Linked DNA regions of Arabidopsis thaliana. The protein of the gene in region 1 interacts with the protein of each later gene in a pairwise test. Each region holds a gene or a part of one and is shown on either strand. Other genes may lie near its edges.

Region 1 (5,830 bases):
ATATATAATTTTTAACAGAAACAATTAAAGATAAAAACTATATACACGTCGGTTTACAAATGACTCAAAAGAATAAGATTTACACGACAGAACTTAACCGATGTTAAGATTACTAAAACCGACGCAAACGTTTCGACGTATAAGTAAGCGTCATTTCCTAAAGTTAAGTTAATTATATTAACGTCATGCAATGTTACGACGGTTTTTAAACCGACGCTATTATGTTAAAGTCAGTTTGAAAATGACGTTAAAGTCAATAATGACCGACGTCAAATACCGTTTCTCTTGTAGCGATCATAATTTGGAAAGTGTTGATCATATAACAACATATACTTGGATATTTTTTTTAAAAAAAGTTAGTGTCAAAACAAACATGGATCATAATTTGGAAAGTGTTGACTTAAGATGTTACCTTTTTTTTTGTGCAAAAAGATGTTACCTATACAGTATAAATACTGAACAAGTTTGATTGAAATAGTTATCAACATATACTTGGATATTTTCCAGGATTAAAAAAAAAAAAAGTTTAGACGAATTATGGGTTCTCTTGAGACATGCTTACTTTTCTTTGTAATGGTTATGTTTATGAGTGCAATTATGTCTCGAGCCTCGACGAGTGTAGTGATTTATAATGATCTTGGAGGTGGTTTGCCACTACGGCACCACTGCAAATCAAGAGAGGATGATCTTGGATACCAGAGTTTAGCACCAGGTAGATCGTGGTCGTTTGGATTTACACCGGATATTTTTGGCCGGACTTTGTTTTACTGTCGTTTTAGTTGGGGAGCTGAGAGTCATATATTTGATATCTACAAACAGAGTAGAGACAAAGAATTTCAAGAGTTTGGTTGCAAAAAATGCGAATGGAAAATACGGAAAAATGGACCTTGCAAGTTTTATAAGAAGACCGGCATGTTTGATCATTGCTATTCTTGGGATTAATATCCTTATTTTATAAAACATGTCGTAACTATCAATCTATGTCTGTCTACTTCTTCTTCTACCTTTTTTTTTCTTTTTTGTATGAGGTAATTGTGTCTTAATATGATATTTTATGGTTTGACCTACAATTCGTTTTCTTTTTTTTTTACTTGTTAATGACACAATTATAGTCAAATAATTTTAGAGCGAAGTAACAAAACATTATAAGAATATAATGTGAACTACAATGAGCTTTTCTTTTATGCTTAACGTTCATTTTTTAACAAAAAAAAAGAATTATAAATAAATAGAGAACAAGTGTTGATCGAAAGAACAACTATGTAAATTATACATTTGTGCTTAACTAAACGCATATCGATTAGAGTCCCATTTCATGACCCCGAAACTCAATGAGTCAAACGTAGTGCACAATCTAGTGTAATTTAAAACCAGAAAAAAAAAAAAACTAGTATAATTCGACATAACCAAATGGCATAGTTAAACGCATGTTGGTGAATGGAGGAAACTAAACCCGCGTGGGAAGGCTTTTCTCGAGTAGTGGAAGTGAAATATTATCTTAAAACATATACTTTCAATGACATAAATTGGTGAAGATTTACTCCCATAAGTGAAATGCATTACATCTAGAAACTTATCTCTTTTATATTTATTTCCGATTTAGCAAAAGAAGTAAGTAGAAAGTCTATTGAGTCAAACCCAAATTTTAAAAAAAATAATGCAAAGAACTTGCATATAAATATTTTACATTATAATTTGTATTAAATTTTGATTTAGTAAACATATATAACAAAATTTTCATCTTTCTTTTAATAATATAGTTTTTAGTTTGTTAGATTTTTTTTTTTTAATTTGGGCAACACAACAGTTGTGTAATAGTATAGGCAAAGAAAATGGTCGGACAGCTAAGGGAAGATCGCTCTCTCCTCATCAGACAAAAAATTACAAGCGAGAATTTCTTTGTTCCTTTACGACCGGACAAGACACGTCCGTCATCGTCTTCTACTACTTTCTATCTTACGCCTCTCCCCTTATCCTACGCCAAAACATCTTATCCTGCGCATCATCCCTTCCATTAAGACCTAGGGTTTTCTCTCTCTCCCATCATTCTCTTCTCCCGATCTCATTTCCATTACCCAATCCCGCTCCTTTTCTCTGATTTTGAATCGAACCCTTAATACCCAGAAATCTCACGGTTCCGAGGAGTGGGTTTTTGGGGGTTAGGGTTTTCGAGAGATGTTGAATGTCAGGTTCATTGATGAATCTGTTTTCTCTCTGCTTCAAGCCATTCGGGCACGTCTGTGATAATTCCGAAGCTGGATCGGGTGGTGGTGGTGGCGTTTCTGGTGGAACCGGCGGTGAAGGCAAAGACGGATTGCTTTGGTTCCGTGATCTCGGTAAATATTGCGGCGGAGATTTCTCCATGGCTGTGATTCAAGCCAATCAGGTTCTTGAAGATCAGAGCCAGGTCGAATCCGGTAATTTTGGGACTTTTGTTGGTGTTTACGATGGTCATGGTGGTCCTGAAGCTGCTCGTTATGTCTGTGATCATCTCTTTAACCATTTTCGAGGTTCGTAATCCGATTCTTCATTGACACAGTGATTCGTCATTTTGACATTCGAGCTTGAGTGTTTTGAATTGGTTTTTTGGGGAAATACATATTTTAGATGAATCCGTTGACTTAATTCTGAACTTTTTGTTCAAATCTTGGTGATGAAGATGGTGATTGGTCAACAAAGTTAGGTACTTTGACTTTTTAATCTCGTTGGGGTATAATTAGGTTCCCATTAAGCTAAATGCAAGTTTAGAGCTACAGTCTTTGCATTTAAAAACTGTGTTTATTGACTTCAGAAATAGTAAAACTTTAGATATGAGTATGCTCTTTGATATATAGGAGTATTTGTAATGCAGTTTGATATATAGGAGGACTCTTTGCATTTCGCATTCCTGGTTCTTTGAGATTGTTCTTTGCCATTTAGATAAGGGTCCCTGGCTTTTGCATTGATGGTGGAGTGTCATGAATATTACCAGGCTTAAGCAAACTAGGAGTGCACTGTAATTATGAAAGGAGGTTGAGCCTCTCTTATGTTTTGATTGCTCAGGCTTTATGGTTATGCAGAAATATCAGCGGAAACACAAGGAGTTGTGACGAGAGAGACGATAGAAAGAGCCTTTCATGCGACAGAAGAAGGATTCGCTTCCATTGTGTCAGAGCTGTGGCAAGAAATACCAAATTTGGCAACTGTTGGCACTTGTTGTTTGGTTGGAGTGATATATCAAAATACTCTTTTTGTGGCAAGTCTTGGAGATTCACGGGTTGTTCTTGGAAAGAAAGGCAACTGTGGCGGACTCTCTGCTATTCAGCTGTCGACTGAACACAATGCTAACAATGAAGATATTCGTTGGGAACTCAAGGACTTACATCCTGATGACCCGCAGATCGTTGTGTTCAGGCATGGAGTTTGGAGAGTTAAGGGCATCATTCAGGTAGTTTCTCATTCTCCTGCCATCCCTTGTGATGTTAATTTTCCAAAAGAAAAATGTAAAATTAGTCACTTAGACATAACTAGGTTCCTTGTTGTGTTAACTCTCTTTGGTTTCGCAAACTTTGACATATCTACCTTATGCTTGTTTCGGAAGAGCTAAATCATTTTTCTTCTCTCTTTTTTAGTCTTTGAGCGGTTTGGCCTTTCTTATAAGCTATAGAAAAGTTCATTAGAGGTCTGAGAAGTACAAATCTTTAAAAAGTTTTGAGAATTAGCAAGTAATGAGGTAGTGCATAAGCAGAATTAGCAAGTAATGGGTTTCTGATGAACTCCATACATATGTACTGAACAAGCTAAATATATGTCTTACGCTCTTTGTGATGTCTAGTTACCAATAATTAATCATCTCTACCATGCAGCTCTTAAGACTTTCTGATGATTCCCTGTATTTACTGTTCAACTTTGATTCGCTGTTTATATAGGTATCGAGGTCTATAGGAGACATGTACATGAAACGGCCCGAATTTAACAAGGAGCCAATCAGTCAAAAGTTCAGAATTGCAGAGCCAATGAAAAGACCCTTGATGTCTGCAACACCAACAATACTCTCTCATCCTCTGCACCCTAATGATTCGTTTCTCATTTTTGCATCTGATGGTCTTTGGGAGCATTTGACTAACGAAAAAGCAGTTGAGATTGTTCATAACCATCCCCGTGCTGTAAGTTTCTACTTTGATTTCTCTCTTAGATGGCGTTTTTGGTCTAGATAAGTTTTAGATTGCAGTTTTAAGCGAGTCAAGTCACAAGAATCCTCATTATTACAAATTCGTTAAATATATAAATGATTTCTTGCATTGTGTGTTTCTCTCTATGTTCAGGGAAGCGCAAAGAGACTGATAAAGGCGGCTCTTCACGAGGCAGCGAGGAAACGTGAGATGAGATATTCAGATCTAAGGAAGATTGACAAGAAAGTGAGACGACATTTTCATGATGACATCACGGTTATAGTGGTGTTCTTGAACCATGACCTCATATCGAGAGGCCACATCAACTCAACCCAAGACACAACAGTCTCTATACGGAGTGCTCTTGAACACTGAGAATCCCAAACATTTTACAACAATGTTTCTTCTTACTTGATTATATGACTTTTGCCTAGAATGAATAAAAAAAAGGCAACATATGGAAAAAACCAAAAATGAAAAAAACAACATCATTATCGTACGTAATGAGTTCTCTCTTGTATTAAGCGGCTATGTTTGACTTTTGGTGTTTCTCTTCAAAGTTCTGATGAGTTCCAAGTCTTTTACTTCTTGCCGTTCGTCAAAAGTATGTAATGTAACATAGCCGTGTAACCATACTATTCTCGAATGTAACATCAAGTCTCTAATCAAAATTGTTTTGGTAACTTATAATTATTCTTCATTCCCGAACAGTGGTTATTCTTCAACATTTCTAGGTTTAACTTTATTGATCAAAAAAGATTTTAAGATGCTCTTGGATTACTGTTTCGATATTTATGTGCCACAGTTGTCAACTCTTCATACTATCTCAAATTTGCGGTTTCGGTGAAATACTTAATTTTCGTACGGATTTGATTTGGAGAACAAAGTCGTGGAGCAACGTTTGGCTTCAACATTTTACTTATGCAAGACTTAAATGTTAGTTCTGATTAAATGGATTCATGGACCTTTTCTAAAAAATATCAAATACAATTCCATAAATCTATAAAGTTCTTGTTAATACTAAAACCTTTGAGAGTACTAATGAAAGAAAAATCAGATTAAGCTTTCTAGGCTGCATTATGCATCAAAAAGAAGTTGAATGTCAATCAACAACTCAGAGCCCAGTGCATATTCATCATCTTTTCCTTCTTAGACCCTCAACAATTATTCTAGCCAGATAAAAAAATTGAAACAGATACAAAAAATTATAAGGATCCTCAGAGTAAAAATGCTTATAGCTTTTCATCAATAAAAAATCAGGTCTCAAAGATTTCATGCCATCATAGGATCCTTCAATAAGCTTTTTTAAAAAAGAAACGATAACTGATTAGGATATAGCACGAGCTTATTCGCTATGCCTGGTTAAACATAGACGAAGCGACTCAACGCCCCTGCAATAATCTATCGCCTCACGAATAAAATCGATGAAAGAATCATCCCGTAGATATTGAATACTCTACAGGAAATTCAATCTGAGAGGCGAATCCAATCAGCTACAAAACGATTCTAAAAGATCATATACAAACATAGTAAAAACACAGCAAACTAAACCTAGCTTAAGAGAGATCGAATGTTTTAGGCATCGCCGGAAGTGTTGGTTTATATACATACTTATGAATTTAGGTCTTAGGGTTTTTTCTGCCGCAAACATCAAACATAATGGGCCTTCATACTAGACT
Region 2 (3,194 bases), on another chromosome or scaffold:
GTGTAGCTCGAGGACTTCTTTATCTTCATCAAGATTCTCGTCTGCGGATTATACACCGTGATCTTAAAGCTAGTAACATATTATTAGACGAGGAAATGACCCCAAAAATCGCAGATTTCGGAATGGCTAGGCTTTTCGATATCGACCACACGACTCAACGCTACACGAATAGGATCGTTGGGACTTTGTAAGTAGCAAAAACTAACATTCATCTTTTACTCATCAACCTCGATTGTGATCAGTCATTTGGTTTACACAGTGGATACATGGCTCCAGAGTATGTAATGCACGGACAGTTCTCGTTCAAGACAGATGTTTACAGTTTCGGAGTTTTAGTTCTTGAGATCATCAGTGGTAAGAAAAACAGTGGTTTCAGCAGTGAGGACAGCATGGGAGATCTCATCAGCTTCGTAAGTATATTACATGCAAAAGCATTGAGATTTGATCAATAACTGTTAATTCACTTCACTGAGTTCTGATGTTTTGGTAAAGGCTTGGAGAAATTGGAAGGAAGGCGTTGCTTTGAATCTTGTGGACAAGATTTTGATGACAATGTCGAGTTATTCATCGAATATGATCATGAGATGCATAAACATTGGTCTTCTTTGTGTCCAAGAGAAAGTTGCAGAGAGACCAAGCATGGCTTCTGTTGTTCTGATGTTAGATGGACATACTATTGCTCTTTCAGAACCATCAAAACCTGCATTTTTCTCACACAGCAATGCGGTATCAGATAGTTCTTCTTCTTTAGGACATAATGCAAAAACTTCAAACTATAATTCCAACACTGAGTTGTATCCTCGGTGAGTTTGTTTGGACACTGAAATTAAGATTTTCAAGATGATGACTAAATGATGGTTTTGATTAGATTTGAGTCCAACTCACTGTAAGTGAGGAAAAAGAGTGTTACAAGTCTCTGTTTCACTTTCAAGGAGAGATGCTGTTTCTAAGTCATCTCATCTCTTGAAGAAAACTAATTGGGAAAACAAAATGTACAAAAATCAATGACAAAAGTAAGGTTATCGAGTGAGTCATGATCAGTTGAAGCGAGAAGCAAGATCAATAAAAATTTCTTCACTGCAAGGGATTGTGAGGCCACCCATTGGATGATCAAATCCAAACTCTTCCTCTGCCTTTCTTAATAGATCTTGAAATGAAGGCTGGTCCAAGTACGAAACCGGAACTACAAATCTCTTCATATTTTGTTCTCCTACGTAAACCGCTAAGTAGCCTTTGGGAACATCAAGAGAGCTAGAAGAAGAAGATGATGACAACAGTTTGGCTTGTCGGAGAATCTGCTTCGATGATTGCAGCACACGAGGGATTCTGATCGCCATGGATTGTCTTTAATTGTAAGTTAGATGCTTTATTGGAAAATGTGAGAAACTTGCAGAGCAGAAAGGAGTCAGTGATGAGTATATATAGATAAGAACATTACTTGTAGATAACCCTTTATTGGTTTCAAAAGTTTCAGCTCATAAATTTTTACACCAACAAGCAAGCACATGGCTTTGCCGGACCACGGCATGATAAGTAAGGGCCCTATAGTGATCAATCTTCATGATTTCTGATGTGAAGACAGAAATCAATATGACCACTTGTTTGTTAGATAGACACTATAACTAGTCAAATTTTCCTTTCTTGCCACAGAATTTTTTTGAAGGCTTTTGTGACTTTGTCAGTATATAATCAAATCATGTGGTCCTGTCTTTTGAATATCATTGAGAAGAAGGTATGACTTAATCAGTGATAGAGACTTGTGGTTCATTAGGTACACAACTTCATGTCCCTACATAATCTATAGAGAGATTTGGCATGTGATGTCTTTGAGACAAATAAGCCCCAATGAAGTTATCATGTAGGACATCATTAGACACTAACTTCTCAGACACCATTTATTGATTTGTTCTTGGTTTAGTATCTACAACCCAAAGCCATGTGCTCTGTAATTAAAAAGAAAAACCTCAAAAATACTTAATCATTTCTTTCATACGTTCGTTTATATAACAAGTAACTAAACCCCTTTAGATTCACAAACTAAAGAAGATCCAATTTTAAAATCTCAAAGCTTTCTCCAAGACTAAGAAACATTTAAGCTTCAGGAAAACATAAGGGAAAATATGGCTTTTTTGAGGAGTTTCTTGGGTGCTAAGCAAATTATTCGAAGGGAATCATCGTCGACACCAAGAGGATTCATGGCGGTCTATGTAGGAGAGAATGATCAGAAGAAGAAGAGATATGTGGTGCCGGTTTCATACTTAAACCAGCCTTTGTTTCAACAACTGTTGAGTAAATCTGAGGAAGAGTTTGGTTATGATCATCCAATGGGCGGCTTAACAATACCATGTCATGAATCTTTGTTCTTCACAGTCACATCTCAGATACAATGAAGTACTATACTACAACATTTCCATATTTTTTTTAGATTGTTAGCTAATTTCCCCTGGAGATAATTGTAAATTGTTTCAATGAGAGGAATATACAATACATAGATCGTAATTGATCAATGCGTATTTGCATGTTAATACATTTGTGTCTTGTACCAAAAAAAGGAATTATACATTTGTGTCATTTAACTCTGGACACCATACATTTCGTCATTACAGTGAAACGGCAGAATTTGAACACTCATTATTCTGGTTGGTAGTTATTTCCATATTTCTCAAAGAACATTTATGTGACTATTATCATTCCTTGCGACAACTGTAATAATGAGAAAACTTGGTATTTTTTTTGGCTCTTCATATAAGTTGTTTAAAAAATGTATTTTCAAACAATAATTAATAGTGGCCCAAACATAATTTAAAATAGGTTTCGAAGCCCAAAGCCCATAAATTAAACGCCTAACATTCACGCGCTCTTTGACTATGGTTGCTTAGGAACAGATGCGCGTGGGGAAGTTGGCACCGTTTTTTCTCTTGCTTACATCTATTTTTTTTTCTTAAACGTCTATTTATTTGCTTTACGTCATTGTAACGTTTGTTTGTTTTCTCTGTATCGTTAGTTGTTGTACACTTGTACTATGGACGTTGAAACCTGCCGGTTAGTCCGGTTCAGCTAGCATTTTTTAAATGTACATCTATTTTCTTATTGAATTATGTGTATAATGTTATTATTCTCTGACTATAGAGTTAAAATATGTTTTTGTTTTTTGGATGACAAGGTTCAGTTTATTTAAAAAACAAAATAAATCT

Evidence for each region.
Region 2: the proteins of AT3G17090 (region 1) and SAUR15 interact in binary tests that used the Arabidopsis thaliana proteins (3 or more experiments, as listed by UniProt).

The regions. Positions count from the first base shown.
Region 1 is NC_003074.8:5,824,802-5,830,631, forward strand, and holds AT3G17090 (Protein phosphatase 2C family protein), read left to right. Parts: upstream 1-1,784; 5' UTR 1,785-2,182; coding exon 2,183-2,510; intron 2,511-3,059; coding exon 3,060-3,427; intron 3,428-3,908; coding exon 3,909-4,145; coding exon of another isoform or gene 4,146-4,149; intron 4,150-4,304; coding exon 4,305-4,526; 3' UTR 4,527-5,099; downstream 5,100-5,830. Other genes in the region: AT3G17080 (Plant self-incompatibility protein S1 family), read left to right, coding at 538-942. UniProt on the Arabidopsis thaliana protein: Dephosphorylates and represses plasma membrane H(+)-ATPases (PM H(+)-ATPases, e.g. AHA1 and AHA2), thus influencing negatively plant growth and fitness. Promotes the apical hook maintenance of etiolated seedlings.
Region 2 is NC_003075.7:18,124,137-18,127,330, forward strand, and holds SAUR15 (SAUR-like auxin-responsive protein family), read left to right. Parts: upstream 1-1,920; 5' UTR 1,921-2,120; coding exon 2,121-2,390; 3' UTR 2,391-2,693; downstream 2,694-3,194. Other genes in the region: CRK26 (cysteine-rich RLK (RECEPTOR-like protein kinase) 26), read left to right, coding at 1-187, 260-410, 493-807; AT4G38840 (SAUR-like auxin-responsive protein family), read right to left, coding at 1,038-1,337.